Linked DNA regions of Caenorhabditis elegans. The protein of the gene in region 2 interacts with the protein of the main gene of each other region in a pairwise test. Each region holds a gene or a part of one and is shown on either strand. Other genes may lie near its edges. The genes, in order: odr-10 and odr-3.

Region 1 (9,068 bases), on a different chromosome or scaffold from region 2:
AAGCGGAGCGAATATCGTAGCGCCAGCTTAAAGGCGCATCGACTTTAGTGAGCGATGGGTCCCGACGCGACGAAATCTTTCCTCGGCGCACCGGCGGATTGTCATCATTCTACGTGTTGGTTTCCCACCCTCCCGCCCCACATTTCTACTATTCCAAAGTGCGAAGCACGTACGCTATGTTTTCCCCCATGAGGCCGTCTGTCATATTCTGAATATGTCGCTTTTAAACGGTAAGTCGCTGTTCAGCAGGTGAGTTCATAGTTTCCGACATGTATGACCAGAGCGGGCAGTCGGTGTCGGTCTACTACATACGCAGGTCGACCCTTGTGCCTGTTTTTGGTGGTACCAGGAAGCTTTTTCATGTTTAAATGGAAAGGAAAAAATTACGGATTTGGTTCACGGAACCAGTTTACATTTTCGCCTTAATGATCTTTATTTGCAGCCACGTTTGTTTTGAGATGAGGATCCCAGTACGTGCCGTTGGACGTTAGACGGAATATTCTCCAACCGTAAGATCTCACTAGATTGAGCTTCGTCTATAATTCGAAGTTTGATCGACTTTTCTTTTGCCTCACAAGAGTTCGAATTGCCCGGTAGAGGTTTGTGGTAGAAATATCAAAACCCCAGTAATTTACGAGAAAATTTTATAATATGCATTAATTTTTCATAATTGACTCATAAATCAATACCAGTCTGAACACGGGCTCAAGTAAGTCGATTACAGTTTATTCTAAGAAAATCGAGATGATTTAGAGGTCCCTGCAGACCAATTGTGAAATGGCCATCTATTTTTCAAATTAATGTAATGTGTCATTTCAGATTATGTATTATATTGCTTCAGCCGACAGTCAACAGAGTCAACGAGGCAGATCACAGGCCGAAGCCCCAGAGTTCTTGACAGAGAAGTGCCCATTCGTTGGAGTGAAGAGCACCCTCGAGCAAGTCGGGACGCCGAGATGACATCGTTTCTCCGGACCCATGGAAGAGAAGAAAAGACGAAGTTTTAGGAACATTGCTCGAAACCGCTCGGTCCGTAAACGACGAAGCCTATTCGTTGCAGTGCTGACGGTAGCAGGGAAGTTGTTTACATAAAATATTAAGAACCGTTAAATTATTTAATAGACACAGTAATTCGGTTCATAGTTTTCAGTTTTCCCCCACGTCAGACACCATCGATCAGTCACCATGTGCCATCGCCGAGCGGACTCAGGCCGTACAATACGAGGAACACACCATACGAGGAACGATCGGACCGTCTACGATACTACTCGGATATATTAATTACCCGTTTTGAAATCTTCGAGGCCCGTTTATCAAATTCTAATTTGGGCGCCACGCGCCCAAATCCCCATTATTTATCACATTTATCACGTCCTATACCACACTAAATCCCAAACAATAAACCCGTAATACCATATAACGCGAGTTTAACATTTTAGAGCGGAGTTTGATCGGGGAAAACTAATTCTCGGAGAGCGAAGCGAAACTAGAATAACTTTTCTTAACCAATACATATTCTACTGTCTATTAATGTGTTTTCTATAGTTTTATTTTCAATAACGTTTATGAAAAAAGGAAAGACACTGTGTCAGTACTACTTTCGTTAAATCTTCACGGTTTGTGCAGATGTCCCTAACATGTTGTCGTCATACACAGGGAATTGAACCAGTGGGTGCCGGCACGCTAATCGAACGCGCTAACCGCAAGGCCACCAGTGTCAAGAGTTTATAATGCGAACCTTTTGTTCATATTCTTCGACACTTCAGTAGTCCCTTGAAAATTTCAATTAAAGGATATTAAGCAGTTTTTTGAAAGGTTGGGTAACTGTAATTTTTGTAAATACCTATACCAATGAATAAATGATGTTTCATTACAGAAAACCGCTAGATCTATACTTTCCAAGTATCAAGTACAGAATTACATCTGACAAGGGAAGTATTTCAACTTAATCCCGGACTTCTGAATGAAACCTATGTCATTTCGAAGAAGACTCTTTAAGTAGGTCCCTACAAAACAATTAGCGGCAGAGGAGCACTTTGACCTGGCAAAATATCGCTCTGAAAACTTTTCAGTGCATTTTTTCACAACTTTCAAGGCCCGTAGAATGGCTCCAAATGTGAATTTTTGTAGATTTTTGATAATTTCTAGGATGCTCAGGGGCCGGAGAGCACTCGGAATTTTTTTGGAATTTTTTAAACTTTTCGAAAAAATCTGAAATTTTTTGAATAAGTCCATGACAAAATTTTTCAGTGAATATAATTTTTTTTTTAAATTCAGAAAAGTTGTCAAAGTTATTTAATATCAAAATTGGGTGTTTTTACACAATGAAAAAATTTTTGAGATTTTTCGGAGTTGCAAAAACAAATTTTGGAAAAAATCGGCACCCGGAGTCGAACCCCAGACTTAAGAAATATTAATCAAACTCGCTAACCACTCGGTCATTCGATGACACTTTTTTTGTAAATGAAATAAATGACAAAAACCAGAAAACGTGACACTTTGATATCTACTTAAATATATAGGGACGTGCGAAATAGCATTGGAAAATGAGAGGACGCAGAGAAAAATTTTCAGAGCGACTTTTTTCCAGTTCAAAGTGCTCCTCTGCCGCTACATTTTTTGGAGGGGCCTACTTAAAGAAGGAGTATCGTCAATGGGAAAATTGTTTTAAAATGTAGTATTTGTACTCAAACTTTCAATTATCGCAAAAGAAAAACGGAAAAAATCCGTTAACATTCAGCATTTAGCCGTTGAAATCGACGAAAGTGGCTGAAAGTGGCTGAATTTGAATTTCGCGCGCAAATGAATCCTAGGCCACCACGCAACTTTTAGGCCATATTCGTAAACAAAATATTGATTTAAATGTAATTTTTCGAACTTTAATTCGCTTTTCTTTCTGGAAAAGTTCAAGAAAACTGGGAAGAAGAAATTGTATTGAGTATTTTTTCAAAGGACAATACCAAAACAAATAAAAATTCGAAAGATCGTCGTGGCCTAGGATTTCTGTAGTTAATTTTTAAAGATTTTTTCGACTTAAAATGCTGAATCTAAGCGGATTCTCCCGTTTTTGTTTTGTAATATTCTTAAGTTTGAGCACGAATACTACATTTTAAAACAATTTTCCCATTGACGATACTCCTTCTTTAAAGGGTCTTCTTCAAAATGGCATAGGTTTCATTCAGAAGTCCGGGATTATGTTGAAATGCTTCCCTTGTGAGTAGGCAGTAAATACATCCAATTTCACATAATCGAAGAGAGATCATTCATTTAGGATACATTGTGTTGTGATTCATGACATTTACTACAACACAACCAGCTGATGTGTGTGATTCAGGTTTTAATTGTAGCATCTTGTGATTGGAATAATAAATTCAATATATTTTCCCAATTCTGAATTTGTGGATACAAACGTATTATTTTTAACTGAATACCTCGTGAAATCAGATTTCAGATTTTGAAAACAATATATCTGACTATAAGTTGCGTATGTAGACAAATTCCAGGAAAATAATGGCTCAAACGACACGCCCCTGGCTTCAAGTTACTATAAAATAGGTTAGGAACAAAGCACATATAACCATGTATTCAGTTTAATTAATTTTTTGTTGGCGGTGGCATGAAATTCTCATAATTTCATTAAGATACCTTACAGCTCCATGTCGGGAGAATTGTGGATTACCCTAGTTGACACAGCGGACATTGTCGGCGTCACCCTCACCTTCTGTGTCAACATTGTTCTTCTCGGACTTCTGAAAACACGTGGAAAAAACTTGGGCACTTATAAATATCTCATGGCGTTTTTCTCAGTATTCTCGATTTTTTACGCCATCATCGAGTTCATATTACGACCTGTAGGCTAAACTGTTGAACTTGAAGTTAATAATGTATTAAATTTCAGATAATGCATATTGAGAACACCACTTTCTTTTTGATCTCAAGGAAAAGATTCAACTACTCCACCAAACTTGGAAAAATCAACTCTGCGTTTTACTGTGCTTGTTTTGCCACCAGTTTTGTTGTCTCAGGAGTTCACTTTGTTTATCGATATTTTGCAACTTGCAAGTAAGTACAATTGTAAAACGGGCTAAGTTTCGTATTTCTTTTGTTAGTATTGCTCTATTAGTACAGTATCCAATAGGAACAGCATTATAAATAAACTGCAAATGATCGGTTGAAAAAATGACTTGTGGAACCTTGCTGTAAAGGTGCAGCACTAATGTAGGATGCAAAACTTGTAGGGGTGGACTATTAGCTCTCTATTATTAGTATACATACTTTTAGATTAAAATACTATAACACCCTTCACAGACCGAATCTACTTCGTTTGTTCAACTTGCCAACTCTTCTACTTTGGCCACTTGGTTGCAGTGTACCCGTGACAATGTGGGCTAGTGTCTCATATTTTTTGTATCCAGATACCGAGTACACGGAAGCGGCTGTCACGTATGAGATCTATGAATTGTAGCTAGGAATTTTTTTTTTCAGCAATGTACTAAATAACCACTATAACTGGATCAAAAAGGAGAATGTATCGTACATTGCATACGTCTATGTAAGTTGATAACACGGAAACCATCAAACTAGATACTTTCAGTACCAATACGAAAACGGAGTAAGGCATATCTACCTCAAAAACTTGCTTGGATGCTTTGTTCATTACTTTGTCATGGTAAGCGGAGATGTTCCTAACATAGTTATTCAACAAGGTTTTAGTCGATGACGTTTGTTGTGATGTTCTACTGCGGATATGCCACGTGGAAAACTATGAATGAACACAAGGATGTATCTGATAGAACTCGAGCGCTACAGAAACAACTTTTCAAAGCTTTAGTTCTTCAGGTATCCCGATCTGAAACTAGAAACATGGTATAAGATGAATTCAGACACTCATCCCAACTATCTTCATGTACGCCCCAACTGGAGTCATGTTCATCGCACCGTTTTTTGACGTGAATTTGAATGCAAACGCCAATTTCATTGTGTTTTGCTCATTTCTGTACCCGGGACTCGATCCACTCATTCTGATTTTGATCATTCGTGATTTCCGAAGAACAATATTCAGTAAGAAGAAAACATATATATTACAAATTGACAAATTGCAAAATTTCAGATTTCTTGTGTGGAAAGAAAAACAGTGTTGATGAATCCCGCTCGACAACAAGAGCCAATTTGTCTCAAGTTCCGACGTGATGAATGTTTTTTGAAATACTGAGAATCGCACAATTGAGAAATTTTAATTTCATTGGACTTGTCATGAGAATGAAGTCATGTTATACAGTTTCAGGATTAAAAAGGATTAAAGGACGATCCGTTCTTCAAGTGCTATGCACTGCGGATCTGGGATTCAGGTACACTGCCTGGTGGTGATCCCTCTAAAAAAAACTTTTACTATATTTGGGCATTTTAGAACTAAAAGAGAAGTTAGAAGCAACTGACTTGTAGATAATGAAAAAGCTGAAAAAAGCTGAAAATCTATAAAAAGAGAACAAATTAGTCTGCTTTCGGTATGTTACCTGCTTATGATCTATGCTTGGCTCAATTTCTGAAAAGTAATCAGACTCTCAGTTTTTTTTTACTTCATCAAGTTGACTACAACATTTAAAAGTAACATGTTTGATGATGGTCGTTTTTATATTAAAAAAAAGGAATGAAGAGATATAGAAAATTATTTGAAAGTGGTAATAAAAATTGAAAACTTAATTTTGATGCTTTTGTGGTGTACAAATTCTCCAACGCTTTAAATGGAAGTTGTTATTATAAAAATGATATTAACTTTTAGGAGCTGTTAGTACTAGAAAGTAGAAACTAGAAAGCACTAGAAAATTTGGCTGATGATACCTTTTTTGTACTTGGCTTCTAAACCAAAATTAAAAAATTAAGAAAGAAACAACAAAATATTTTTAAAACATTCACCATTAAATTTTTGATTGGAACATGGAGCAATTGAACATTGTACGTACAATACAGTAATCTAAACATTTGAACACAAACATTAGGATAGCGGTTTCTTGAATTTGACAAAAGGTATGAGGAATTGAAAAAAAAAACATGAAAAACGTGAAAACTTTCCTTTGATGTCTTTGTTGAATCTTCATTTTCTAATTTTTTTCTATAGAAGTTGTTGTTACCAGAGTCCTATTTATTCGCAAATGTTGCCAGTTACTGTCTTTTTCCGAAATGTGGCTGATAATACTTTTTTGTTTTCTACCGACCCAAAATGCGTATGAACATCCGTTCGATTTTATTGAAAATGCGCTAGAGAAGTACACAATCAACAGTGGAAACCCGCAATATTTATATGTTTTCAGAATAGTGGACTGGAAATCAGATCCCTGTGATGATTTTTACCGTCATGCTTGTCCAGTTGGCAGCATTGAAGACATTATAAAAGTATCGATGCAACCTTTAAAAGATGCATTAAATCATTCGTGGAAGCAGAAAGGTAATAATATTTTTCCTGGCCTGGCGAAGAAGGTATGTACTTTCAAGTTGAATTGAGTTTTTGAGTTCAGGCCAACGAAACGAGGGAAAAGTCTATAATATCAACTTTCGAAGATCCCACATATGCTGCCACTTTTTTTGCAAATTATTATTTATCTATGTAAGTCTGGTATGAAATAAAAAACATGTACCAAGTGTGAGGATCTTGTAGAAACGAACCCTAACGTGAGAACAAGCTAAATGTTGAAGGGAAACTAGCTAATTCACGAATAAATTCAGTTTTCCAACAACTAATCAGTAATTACACTTTAGATGCAATTCCTCCTATCTTCCAACTCAGTTGTTCACTTCCAAGTTTGAGAAAATAATCACTAACTTGTACAAAGAAGAAACATTCAGTTTGTACAATTTGAAAAGTTTACGGTGTAGTATGACCACTGAGGACATAACAGTATTACTCACACAGTACTTTAATACGTCGTCGGAAAGTTTTGTGAGTGTTGCTATTTTTTATGAAACTTGTCAGATTGTTTTACAAATCTCTGTGGAACTTTATTTTGAAGCACAGAGCAATTTGTTTCTAATATTACATACAAAAAAAAACAAAAAAATAAGATTTCAGTATGACTATCAATATAGATTTATCAATTATGTCACTTTTTACGACGGAATGTTGCAACCATTATATTACCACGTTGAAGCAAATGTTACTGACGGAATTAACGAAATTCACCAAATGATGGAGGACATGGTAGAATTAGGGAATATTTGGCTTGAGGTAAACACTGAATGTGTGATTTTATACCAATTTAACATTTTTAGAAAACTCCGTGGGTTATTAACAATAACCTAACCGAGGAAATGAAGAATATTACAAATGCAATTAAAATGCCAGTGTCACTGACCAAATATACCAACTTTATTTACAATTTGCTATCTCCAATAGAAACTGATTTTCTGAATTGTGTTTCCGAATTTGAAGGAATTCAAAACAATACTCTATTTTGCTTATTTTATTCAGCGAAGATATTCGTACGCACACGTGGTAGCTATTTCATAGATGATAACGGCTACAATGCAGAAGGAACAATTTACTTTGGTTTTCCAAATTATTATCATACTACATATGGAAACTGGAGAGCATCAAAAGTAAGCCTAATACTTTTATGTTTTGTATCTTTTGTCTGTCAAATTTTTTGAACCATTCAAGCAATAAAAATACAAGTAGCGTACATTATTCTCTATTACTCTTGCAGTTTCTGCTAGTTTTCCACACTAACAAGCTAATCAAAAAATTAGTCTGCCTTTAATAGTATTGCCGTGTTTAAATGTCGGGCACATCTACAGCTTGATATAGACTTCCATGAAAGACTAATAGAGGAAATATGGACTATTTTTCAGCTGGGATACACAGGAACACGAGTAGGTCATGAAATCGGCCATACTTTCATTGAACACAGTATCAATCCTGACGGTCTTCCGTATTTTTCAAAGCCAGCTGAGGATTGCGTTCAGAATCAATATTTAAAGACTTGCAATGAATATTACGAAGGGGAAGTGAGTATTAAATAATTCAATTTTTCACCTGACATATTGTTTTTTGTTTAAGGTTCCTGATGCTTGCAATACTTCAGACTATACATTTGATGATAATGGTGCTGATGTTTTTGGTCTGCAACTTGCATATGCAATACTGGAGAGAGATTTGAGCGACCAATTGAGAGTGCGTTGTATCACTTTTCTTATTTTGCTATAAACAATTTAAGGAGCAAGCTGATGGTTTAAAAATCACAAACGAACAATTGTTGTTCTATTCATTTGCCTACAGATTTTGCAGGGTTAGTACATAAAATTAACATTTTTGACTGTCTGATAATTGAGGGATCAAAATCCAATACAACAGATGGCTCGCATTCGCATCACAATGTTCGAATTAATGCTGTTGCACAAATGCCAGGATTTCAGCAAGCATTTAATTGTGCAAGTGACTCAAGAATGATGAAGTCTGCAACAAAACAGTGCGTCATTTATGGTAACAATGCTCCGGAGACACGCAAATAGTTGAATGGAGATAGCTGACGTTCAGTTATTTATCGTTTCACTCTACATTTAGTTTTGATTCAAATTTTATTCGCTTGTTTTTAAATTTCATATAAATTTGTAGACACTTTTCATTATTCAAAAATAAAAGTCTTGCTAACACTCTTTGATAAATTGTTCGATAGTTTATGGTATTTAAAGTTTATTCAATAAACGAAAAGCCATAACATTATTACTTATTATGTTTTTAAAAAATCCAAAAACATTTTGAACCGTACATTTTTCAGCTGAACTAGAGAGAACGAACTGAAAATCTATAAAAAGAGAAGGAATTGCGTTTAAAATGCATTTCACGCGTTAATGTGATAATGAATTCTATAATTATTGTTTAAAAGTGCAAAATGAAAGAATAGGAAAATTTCGAGGACGAGATAGGGGATGATATTGATTAATTAGATGAAGTTATGGATAGAAAAATAGAAGATTCACCGATTTACAATTTTGACAATAGAGGGGGAAATGAGATAATGAACTCTAATCACAAAAAAACATCAAAGATTAGATAAAAAGACAGACAAAAAATAACG
Region 2 (10,591 bases):
GGATTGTTTCAATTCCGGAAGCACAGTATTGTAGAAGATAGTGTAGTGATTTTTAAAGAACTCTTCCTACAAACATCCTGAAACAAATAAAGTTTCTTGAGCTTTTGTAACTGTCTTGTAAAAACAACTTTCTAGATGCCAAACCAGGAGATAATCGGTCAGAAGTGAATAAAAACCAGGTGAAAGTGATCAAAGCGGATTTAAAACAAACGAACGGTCAGTCAGCCGGTCTAGTTTACCTCCCCCTCCCGCCGTTCGTATCACAAAGTTTTGTTTCGCAGAAAAAAGGAACAAGTTGCAAACAAAATATTTGCGGAGAAAGCCAGAGCCAGGATGGTGGTGGGCACGAGGGTACAGGGAGCAAGATGAACGGAGGAACACAGAGAGCACAAATTGAAAATTGACGACAAACAAATAAACAATTGAGCTCTCTCTCAATTTTTCGATGTTCATCGTCTCGCTCCGAACAGTCTGTTCGTAATGCGACTACTCCGATCTACGAGAGGTGGAACCGAGTGCCACCCGGCACCCGGGACGACACGCATTTCGTGGAGAAGATGAGAAGAGGAACACTACCAGTTCTTCATTTTTCAACTGATAACCATCAATAGAAACAATTGAGAGACAGAGTTTCAAACTGTTGTTGTTGCAAGTTAACGGTTCAATTCGCTGACACACGCAGTTTTCAAGTGTCGTGTTTGAAGGTATTATCCAATTTATTTATACATTTTCCAAACGGATCTTAATGTTTGTTCAGTGTTTTTGTTATAGAAGTTATTATCAAATCCTGAAAATAACAGTCCTTTCCATTTAATTGATATCCACAAAAGCAAACTTCAGTAGTAATGGAACTATTTTCTGATTGAAAAAAAGAGATGTTTAAAATTTGTTGACTCGTTCTTTTTTCAAACGTTTCCATTTTGAAAAATGATAAAGTGAACTTTTCGAGATGATTTTTTTGCTAGATGTGTGACGGTGGTGTCAAGCAGGATAGAATAGGTTATTTTAAGAATTAGGCTGAAAAGTGAAGATGCAAACATAAAAAGCGTATATTCAAAATTTTCCAAATTAGAACTCTGGGAACGAGGTCTTTCATGTAAAATTAAATTTTGAGACGCCTCTGCTAGTTTAAACATGAAAACTTTCAATTCTTATAATTTTGAATAGCGAAACTCAGAAAAACATTTGTCGCAAAACATACCTCTACTCTTCAGTTATTTTACCAGCTCTACCGCGAGTCACGTAAAGATAACCTGTGTAGCCGAAATGCAGGCGAATAGGCGGTAGGCAGACTAGTAGGTGTGTAGCAATGTGATACTTCTACTAACAATTTTTCTGAAAACATTCCACTGATCGGCGTCCATCGTGGAAGCCAATGTGAAGCCACGCAGGATGTTGTTTCTTCACAACTACGCCTCAAATCCGATACTTCAATTCCTACGTGTTCCTTCTTCTGAACCAAATATAAAGATATAATCAAATTATCGTTTTTTTTTCATTTTCAACGAATCAAGTAATTTCTCGGGTACGCAAAAAAGTGGTCCACGTACCGTTCAGTGCTAGCCATCCAAATTCATCAAGGTGGGGGTGTTCATCAAGATTTGGCAACCTTCAGATAACAAACAACTTGTATGCCGTTCCGAGAGAAATGAAACATTCTAAACGGCAATGGACGAGAAATGTTTTCTAGTTAATTAATGACCTTGGATTTTTTCTTGCAATTTGCAGTTCAAATAAAAAAAAGTAAAATCGCGTCAGTTGTTTTGTATATCTTTTATTTTGTACTTTGTATTTCAACCATACGAACTCTGTTTGGCTTCTAAGAGTGATAAGTTTACCAAATCCTTTACTCTTTTGTCTCTTTTTTATTTTCAGCAGAACATATTTGTCGGACGTATGGCACATAATCAGCAACTCCGGTACAGTGAAATGTCTGGATGCTGGTAAACGGACGGAATCAGTATATCCGTATTGGATGGTTCAAGAGTGGGTCTAATTTTTAGGCATCGTCTTAGACTGTAGGTGAAGGTAGGAAAGACATCAAAATTGGTACGGGAAGGAGGTGTCAGTAGTACTGGATAAGGAGGTGTAAGAAACACTGGATAAGGAGGTCTACGTAGCACTGGATAACTCGCAATTGGATGATGTGAACACCGAGGGACCATGTGTCGAGGATTAGCTGAATCCCTGAGGATATACGGGCACATTTTCGTGTTCCGGAAGAAACCCCAGAAGAACTTCAAGAAGACATCGGTGGATATACTCGTGATCACAGCAATCGTTTGTCATTGAAGAGGGGAGATGTTGGGTATCAACGTGTATTGACCCACGACGTGGCTAAGAAGATCGTACAACGTGAACTCTATGAACTAACTTATTTATTCCTTAGTTTAGTAATGTAATAAACTACTCGTCTTCGCCTCCTCGTTCTGCCTCAATACATAACAATATTTCATCAGTTCATGAAGAAATAATCAAAAGCTGAACATTGCAAACACAAGAAACAAAGAGTAAGAAATGTATCTCATTTCTGATTCACAAAAATTGTAAAAATGAGTCAACCACGTCCTTTGATGCTTTAAATTCAAATATGCCTGGTAGATGAGCTATCCGCAGTTTCATAGATTAATTGGGCTCTCTGTTTCTTATTATTTTTATTTTATTTATTCGTTATTGTTCATCTCTAATTTTGAAGCATGTTTTACAGCATTCACACAAAAATTGAGTTTCCAGAAATAAAATAAAAAAATGACAAAAGTAATCGACAAGAAAAAAACGGAAGATGACGGGGAACTGAAAAAAACTATGGGAGTAGACAAATGGGAAAGCGTAGGAATTAGCTAAGTTTGGAGTAGTAAAGGGTTATAATCGGTTGAAAAATTATGGAGCTCCCTATGAGAAAAACATTTGATTTAAAACAATTTGCAACGTTGCACATGATATTCGTGATTTTTGGGATGTGAGGAAAAAATGAGATCAGATAAGGATTGTGAAGATGAAAAAAAAAATTAAGAATTGGAAATTCGTGACTCACTTTTGCATTAGCTGTTTAAAATTTCCAACTCCTACTTTGTTTCAGATCAAAAAGTGGGCAGAGTATCATTTTCAAAAAATTAAAAGTGAAATATGGAGAATCCTACTTGCAGAATCGGATCCTATTAAATGAGTGAGTAGGCAATATGTTATTATGAAAAAAAAATCGAATTGTTTTTTTACATCATTCCTGCTTTTTGTAAATTCTTCTGAATAATTGTATCAATAACACTCGAAATGACAAGTTGTACCTGAAAATTGGGAATTAAGTTTTTTTTTTTGAAGATCAGTTCAGAATTAAAATTCCAATAAACCAATAACCTACCTGATTAGTGTCTGTAGCGCAAGTTTCATGCATATAAATTGTCTTTTTATCAGGATTCAAGTTCAATTCAGCAAATTTCTGCTTGATGAACGAGACGGCCTCCTCATAGTTTTGACCACCTTCATAATCTGGGAATGCAGTCGTAATATTGACTCGTTGAATCTTTTCCATAAATAAATCTTTTTTATTCATAAAAAGAATCATTGCTGTTGAAAGGAACCAAGTTGAATTACAAATTGAATTGAAAAGCTGCATGGACTCGATCATTCGGTTCTGAAATTTCAGAGATGGATTGTGGTGTGCCAAAAAAAAATGACGATTAGAAAAAATCCATGTTTTACTGTTTAACTTTTTTGATGAAAATTGAAAAATGCTGCGGTGTGTCTGGATTTGCCTTCAAGAGAAAAGAACACGAAAAAGGAAACATCAATAAAAAGTTAAACTAGCGCAGCCTGTGCCTACGATTCCCAAATTTGATAATTTTATAGACGAAATCTCTTTTCAGCATTTCCTTATCTCTTTTCAGATTTTTCAAGAAAAAAAGTCACGGAAAATGATAGAAAAAAAATGAAATATCGCAACTCGGGCTTGAAAACGGTGCCCGGAATTGCTGCATTTTCACTATTTTCACCACGGCATACTATTTTTCAAACCACAACTGATTTATTGTTGCCACTGATTAAATTTAAATTATTATAAAGGGCCACATTCAGTAAATCTCAGTGATGGATTGACTGCAAAAACAAGCGCAAATCTAGTTTCAAAGGTGTAAAACTATACACCAGAGGTGTGCGACAAATCTCAAAATTTGCCGAGCTCTGCAAATTTGCCGCACGCCCCTGCTATACACCTTCGCATGATTTTGTTATAGTATATGCTCTAGCTACATTGCTTTGATATACTACAATTAATAATCTCAGAAATGGATTTAAGAAGAACAAGAGATGCCTACACTTTTCAGGTATGCTAGATAAGTGCAGACAAAATGAAGATTAATGCGTTTGCTCTCTCAGGTCATCGATAAGTTTTTTTTTGAACATTTCGAAACAAAACTCACCGTCGTTTCATCTTCGAAAAGAACTTGATCATATTCGGAAATAGCAGTAATGAAAATAATAGATTCGACATTATCAAAGCAATGGATCCACTTTCGTCTTTCAGATCGTTGACCTCCCACATCAAATACACTGAAATCAAGGATTAAAACATCAATATTCATTTATTCCCTTCATCTTTTCATTCCACCTTTCCTCGGTTTCTTTAATTTCAGCTAAATCCAATTGTCACCATCAACAAAGGAATACATAAGAAAATAGTGTTGCTATGGAGACTCGGTGAAAACCCCAGCTCATTTTGTTTTTTGCTCTGGGAAAAGTGAATCAAGAAAAAATGGCAAAACTAACCGGAAGTCAAGCTCCTTGATCTTAAATTTAACTTCTACGACACCAGTTGTTGCCACTCGAGAATAAAGAATATCTTGATCGTTTGGCCGATACCCAGGTTCAGATATACGCTGACAATTATCCAGAAAACTGAAAATTCAATTTTGTGTAAAGGGAGAGAGTTACATAACTGGGAATATGACTAATTAAATAAGAAGTGAACAGGAACATTAGTGCCACGTCGCGGCATTTGTTGTGCAAAACAATTTTTAATGATTAACGATTTTCGTACTGTATTTTTTTGGATAAGAAATGTTAAAATTTTGTTTGCACAATTTTGAAGAAAAAAGATAAAAAATTAAGATTTTTTCAAAAAAATTCTTCAATACTCTTCAAATTATCTTTTAATTTGAGACGAGTCTACATTAGCAGCAGAAGTCAAAATAAAAAATGTTAGAAACGTATAAAAATGAATTTCAGAATTATTTTAAACCCTTAAGCGCACTCTCAACTTTTGTCGATGTTTCTAGAAAACTTAAATATCAATTTTTAAACCAATTTCTTCCAATGAATGTAATTTTGACGCTACTGTACAAATTTCTTACTATTTAGCAGAATCTGGAAGTTGATATTCGCTACGCATTTCAAATGCTTTCTTCACGCCAGGATCTGCCCATAACGATTGAATTGCTTTCGAAACTTCTTCTGTCAGTGCTTCTCCTTCTTCTCCATTTTCCTGTACTTTCATAACTATTGCCTTTTCTGCTTCTTTTTGTCCATTTTCCAACGGTAAATGCAGAACTCCGTCCATTGCTCTTAAAATTGTGCACATTGCAGAAACAGTATTATTGTAAACAATTGCTCGTTTTTCATTTACTTCTTCTTCTGTGAATCCGTTGCTATGAAGAATTCTGAACAATAAAACCAATTAGAAGATGCGAAAAAGTCCTAGATTCAACATACTGCATCTGTTTCAGAACTGTAGATTTTCCACATTCTCCTGCTCCAAGTAGCAAAAGCTTAACAATACTACTTCCAGCTCGCTTATCCGCATTCAATTGTTTTTCAATTTCTTTGTTCCTCGCGTTACCTTCCGAATTTTCATTGCTCTGGCATGAGCCCATATCTAAAAAAACAATGATCTATGAGTAATTGATTTGAAATATCGGAATAACAGAACAATAAAAAAAGAGTAATACACAAATGCATTTGAAGTATAAAGATTGGAGGTAAATGGAGTAAAAGTTGAAGAAAAGAGATAATCTTATCTGCTCGTATATCAACTGCACTTAGCTTACATCGCCGGCTCCGTCGCCTTCATAAATCCAAAGTCAAAGACGACGACGAAGAAGAAGAAAACGGCGTCGACGACGACAAAATGCCTGTATTGTTCGATGGGGATTAGCGTTGATAACCTACACTCGAATAAGAGCAAATATCAATAGAAAAAGAGAAGAAGAAGAAGATGGATGGAGGTAAAAGGTGGGTGGAGAATGGATTGTGTTAGAGTAAGTGCGTCACAAGACACCACGATCCTTCTGTCGGCGCCAAACGATTTGTATCGTTGCAGTCGAGAAGATGAAGAAGAAGCTGGGGAGAAGGCAAGTGCACCTACTACAAACTCAGGAAATCTAGGAAATGAACAGAGAAAACATTTGGCTTTCTTTGTGATCAGAATGGAGAGCAAAATATAACAATGTTGATAGATCGTAAAGACTGATAATTTCGATTAATATTTCTTGAAGATGGACTGAGATTTGGGAAGATTTTTAGTTTGAATTGTTCAATATACACCAAAATGTGAAAACCGAGAAAATTAAAAAAAAAACTCGATGTAGATTGCTAAAGAACAACAATCAAGAATAAAATTCCTAGAATTAAAAAGTGTCCCATCCAACTTTACGCCAAAAAAAATCGATCACCATGTAAACATATTCAAAACAAGGACGTGAATATTCATACTAGTTTTTTAAATTTTCAGAGTTGGAAATAAATCGTTTTAAAAAATGTATTTACTACTTAATTACTATAAACCCGTACAAAATCATTTACGAGTTTTTCATATTTGGTGACAAAAGCAAGGCTTGAGTGATTTTTTGATAACACTTTTTTCTTGAATACCAAAGCGTTTCTAAAACTTTTATAGCATTTTTTCAGACCGAACAAAGAGCTGATAAGCCACAAAACGGGAATAAATCCAACAATTATTTACACTATCGATCTCTTAAATTTAAATATATCTATCGCACACTTTTCTTTATTGAATGTTCAACAACAGGTGAAATTTTCAGGAACACTTTTTCTCGATATATTTAAACTTAATATATACAACTGTTTTTTTCGATGGTTTTTCAATGGTTTATTTACTGTTTGTATTTTGTACCTACAAAAAAAATCGAAGAAAAGGGGCGTGAGAGACAAAAACCACGAGGTGTCTCCTAGACAACGTCACATGAATGACTAAAAATTCAATAAAATAGTTATTGAAAAAAAGGTTGTGAAACATATCACATGATAATTTAATTTTTTAATTATGTTAGTTAACAGGAAGAAAATTATATTTTAAAATGGGCGTGGTGAGAGGGTAAAAATGGAGTATCAAAAAACAAGAACATAAGTACAAAAGGATTTGTTCTAGAGGAATGATTGTAGTTGAAACCAACATGAATTGTCGTTCGGATTTCATTAAAAACATTTATGAATCAGAATTAGGTAGAAGACGCCTCCTACACCTTTCTGTTTAAAAATTACAAAATACTACGATCAGTTCCTTCAGCTGGGTGATCCGGAAAATACAGATAATAACTAAAAAATTTCAGTCATTCAACCAAGAAAGCGGAAAAAAGACTTGAGTATATTTGCTTTCGTATTTTCTCCTTAGAGACGTGAGAGTCACCGAATGAGTGAAGGAATTGAGATGGAAAAGGCAAGTGGACAGGTAACACTGGACGTTGGTTGTGAGAATAAGATTAAGGAATTGAGAATATGATATTGAGATATGAAAGTCAACACAACGTGGGCGATTGAGTAAAATAATCTAGTTTTATAAAATTAGAAATTTGGAATTCGAAATATATTTTGGAATAAGAAATATTAATTTAATTATATTTTAAAACTTGCTGAATTACCAAACTGAATTACCAAATAAGTATGTCTCGGTTTTGAAAATTATAGGTGGCAATTACCTATTACTTCACAAAAATCATACAATCTATTGGGCAATCAACACATTTTAATTACGAGTAACTCATTTCTAGACATAAAATTATCAGCTGGAAGTCTAACAAAAGAATATTGGAGACATCCAACTTGGGAATAGTGTTTATTACGTACGTTCTGAACTCATGTCTACAACTAGAACACTGATCTCTTTAGACGTTTAACCCGAATAATGAAACACAAAAATGACGTGTAATTGAATAATTCTATCAAGGAGCTCGAAAACCCACATGGCTACAAAATGTGAAAAAAAAATTGGAAGTTTCTCTGAAAGTAAGAAAGTAGGATAAAGTAAGATGAAGACGCCAAGTTTTCATTCTTAAAAAAATGTGTTTTGTCGCTCGGAAAGCATAATTTGTTTCGAATACTTTACAATAAAAGCCTTCTGGGGCTGAAGCAGACACGGAAAACACTGGGGTACATGCTAATTATTCAAAGATCAGTGAACAAGTTAGTAGATTAACACAATTTTTATGAAAAGAATCGGCGGGAAAAATGAAAAACTTATTGAAATAAGTTCCAACGGTCAATGGGAATACAGTCAAAGGAAACACTATTTTTAAAAATCTACTATGTTGAGATATCACGAAAAAATGCTTGATTTTTTTCCAAGATCCACATTAAATCTCATTAGTTCTACAATGAAAGGAGCGAGTTGCTAATTGGTCTTGCAGTGGTTCTTTCGGAGGAAATTCAAATGGAAAATTGCGTTATTGAAAAAGGGTTCTTTCTCGATTTATTTTCGTTTTTTATTGTGCTGGTTTAGCATTTGGTCTTATTCTGAGTTTTTCAAGTGAACTCTTTCCATTAATGGAACTCCATCTCCAAAAAATCAATATAACAATTGCTCATTTCTAGAGAATATCCTGCTGGATGAGCAGAACACAACCTATCAAAAAAATTTCGAAATCAAAAAGAAATGAAAATATTTCTCCCCCGAGAGTGAGAGTATGAATCAGAATAATTTCGATAGACGTTCTTTGCCACAATTTTTGTAGCAGATTTATGTGGCATGTAATCCTTCACAGCGAATCAAGACAATAGCTTGCGAGCACTGCTTTCACGGATTACAGTAGGTAATCGAAGAGCAGGGATACTCGGAAGAAGAGATTTTGAAATAGGATTTGATGGAATTGTGAAACTAATCTAATAGTAACAACACAACTTCAAATTACCACCATAGATTTGTTTTCTAAAAATGAAAAAAAAATCAATGTCGAATTGTCAAACTGTTCTGAGACATTTGGACCAAATTTTAAAATTTAGTATTAAGAAAAGAGCAGGTTGAAATAGGAAACAAAAACTTCAAAATCGAAATCACATGGCACATCTCGAAAAAGGATTGTTTACACCAAGAAAAGAGGTGTCAGATGGACAAAGAAAAGAGTGCATACCTAAAAGAAAATGACGTGGAATTATCAGAAAACTTTCTGAATTGATTCAATGGTTTTCCTAGACTATTATAATTGAATTCAAGTAATCAATTTCACATGGCTTATGCTGCTGCAAAGTATGTTAGTGGAACGAGTCCTATGATCGAAATATTCAAATATCTAACCAAGTTTTCATTAAATAGTTTACACCGCCTCAGAGAGCAAACAAGAGAATAATGGGAGCACAAAGAAGCATTGAGCCATCATCAGAATATGAAACGTGGTTCCTCTCCTGCTGCTGCTTCTTCTTTTGTGTGTGTGTGTGTGTGTTAACTCGAAAAACAAAAACGATGAGATAAATCTCTTCCAGGGTGTCAAGGGAGAGGTGAGACAAATAATAATTGAGGGGTTGATATCGAGAACATTTTCTCCAATCAATAGTGCCTTTTCATGGCGTCTGTGACTCATTTTGTATATGATAGAGGAAGAAGAAGGTGACTAAATAGCTGATCAGAATTAGATTTTACTCCGGAGAGATGAAGATTATTCAAATTTTGAGGTTTTAAACAATAAGAAAAAGTTAACAACACTGTAAAATCATCATACTTTCATAAGAATATGATCAAAATCCCTTCTACTACAAAGTGACATGATGTCTAAAAGTGTGATATACACGATTTCCCATGTGAGTAAAAATGTCAAAAAATTTATAATTTTCAAATTGATATACATTTTTCCGGAAGGAACATTATTATTATTATATTATTCAAATTTTTCTATTTTGGTCTTAATCCGGTTTCAGAAACAGGTAAAACTTCCTCAGATTGATATGAAAAAAAGCTTTTTAAAAATTAGTTCTAAAATCTGAGGAACCGAGCTGTTCCAGTAAATTAAATTAACAACAATAAAGTTTTGTAGTGAGTGAATCAAAAAATCGTTACATAGTATTACATAGAAGTAATTTTTTAAATTACTAATAGGGTCTGCAAGATTATTATTTTTTATGCGAAAGTACTCAATTTCCCATAATGCTGAAATTCAAATTAGACATAAATTTATGGCCAAATGTAAAAAATTAAAATTTCAACCGAAAACTTTTGAAGTTGCCGAACTTAATTATTTTCTTAAAATACATTGATAACTGTCATGGTATGTATGTACTATGGTTTCAGTAAAAACCAATAAAATTTTGAAGGGCAAACTGCAGTTAGGATCTCCAAATTTTCTAATTTTTTTTTCAAAACAAAAGAGCAGTATAC

Evidence for each region.
Region 1: the proteins of odr-3 (region 2) and odr-10 interact in a two-hybrid assay, tested with the Caenorhabditis elegans proteins (one study listed by BioGRID).

What each region holds. Positions count from the first base shown.
Region 1 is NC_003284.9:6,860,524-6,869,591, reverse strand, and holds odr-10 (Serpentine receptor class r-10), read left to right. Parts: upstream 1-3,652; 5' UTR 3,653-3,656; coding exon 3,657-3,851; intron 3,852-3,898; coding exon 3,899-4,062; intron 4,063-4,308; coding exon 4,309-4,443; intron 4,444-4,485; coding exon 4,486-4,552; intron 4,553-4,594; coding exon 4,595-4,669; intron 4,670-4,713; coding exon 4,714-4,839; intron 4,840-4,883; coding exon 4,884-5,061; intron 5,062-5,110; coding exon 5,111-5,190; 3' UTR 5,191-5,277; downstream 5,278-9,068. Other genes in the region: C53B7.6 (uncharacterized protein), read left to right, coding at 823-960; nep-4 (Peptidase M13 C-terminal domain-containing protein), read left to right, coding at 6,178-6,263, 6,309-6,442, 6,513-6,601, 7,064-7,219, 7,264-7,590, 7,843-7,998, 8,051-8,164, 8,208-8,279 and 1 more; Neuronal immunoglobulin domain-containing protein rig-3, read right to left, coding at 9,040-9,068. UniProt on the Caenorhabditis elegans protein: An odorant receptor which affects chemotaxis to the volatile odorant diacetyl. Specifies AWA neuronal cell fate via the odr-7 pathway.
Region 2 is NC_003283.11:13,243,671-13,254,261, forward strand, and holds odr-3 (Guanine nucleotide-binding protein alpha-17 subunit), read right to left. Parts: upstream 5,867-10,591; 5' UTR 5,865-5,866; coding exon 5,704-5,864; intron 5,652-5,703; coding exon 5,346-5,651; intron 4,891-5,345; coding exon 4,762-4,890; intron 4,546-4,761; coding exon 4,416-4,545; intron 3,632-4,415; coding exon 3,359-3,631; intron 3,285-3,358; coding exon 3,213-3,284; 3' UTR 2,654-3,212; downstream 1-2,653. UniProt on the Caenorhabditis elegans protein: Guanine nucleotide-binding proteins (G proteins) are involved as modulators or transducers in various transmembrane signaling systems. This specific G-alpha subunit plays an important role in olfaction and in cilia morphogenesis.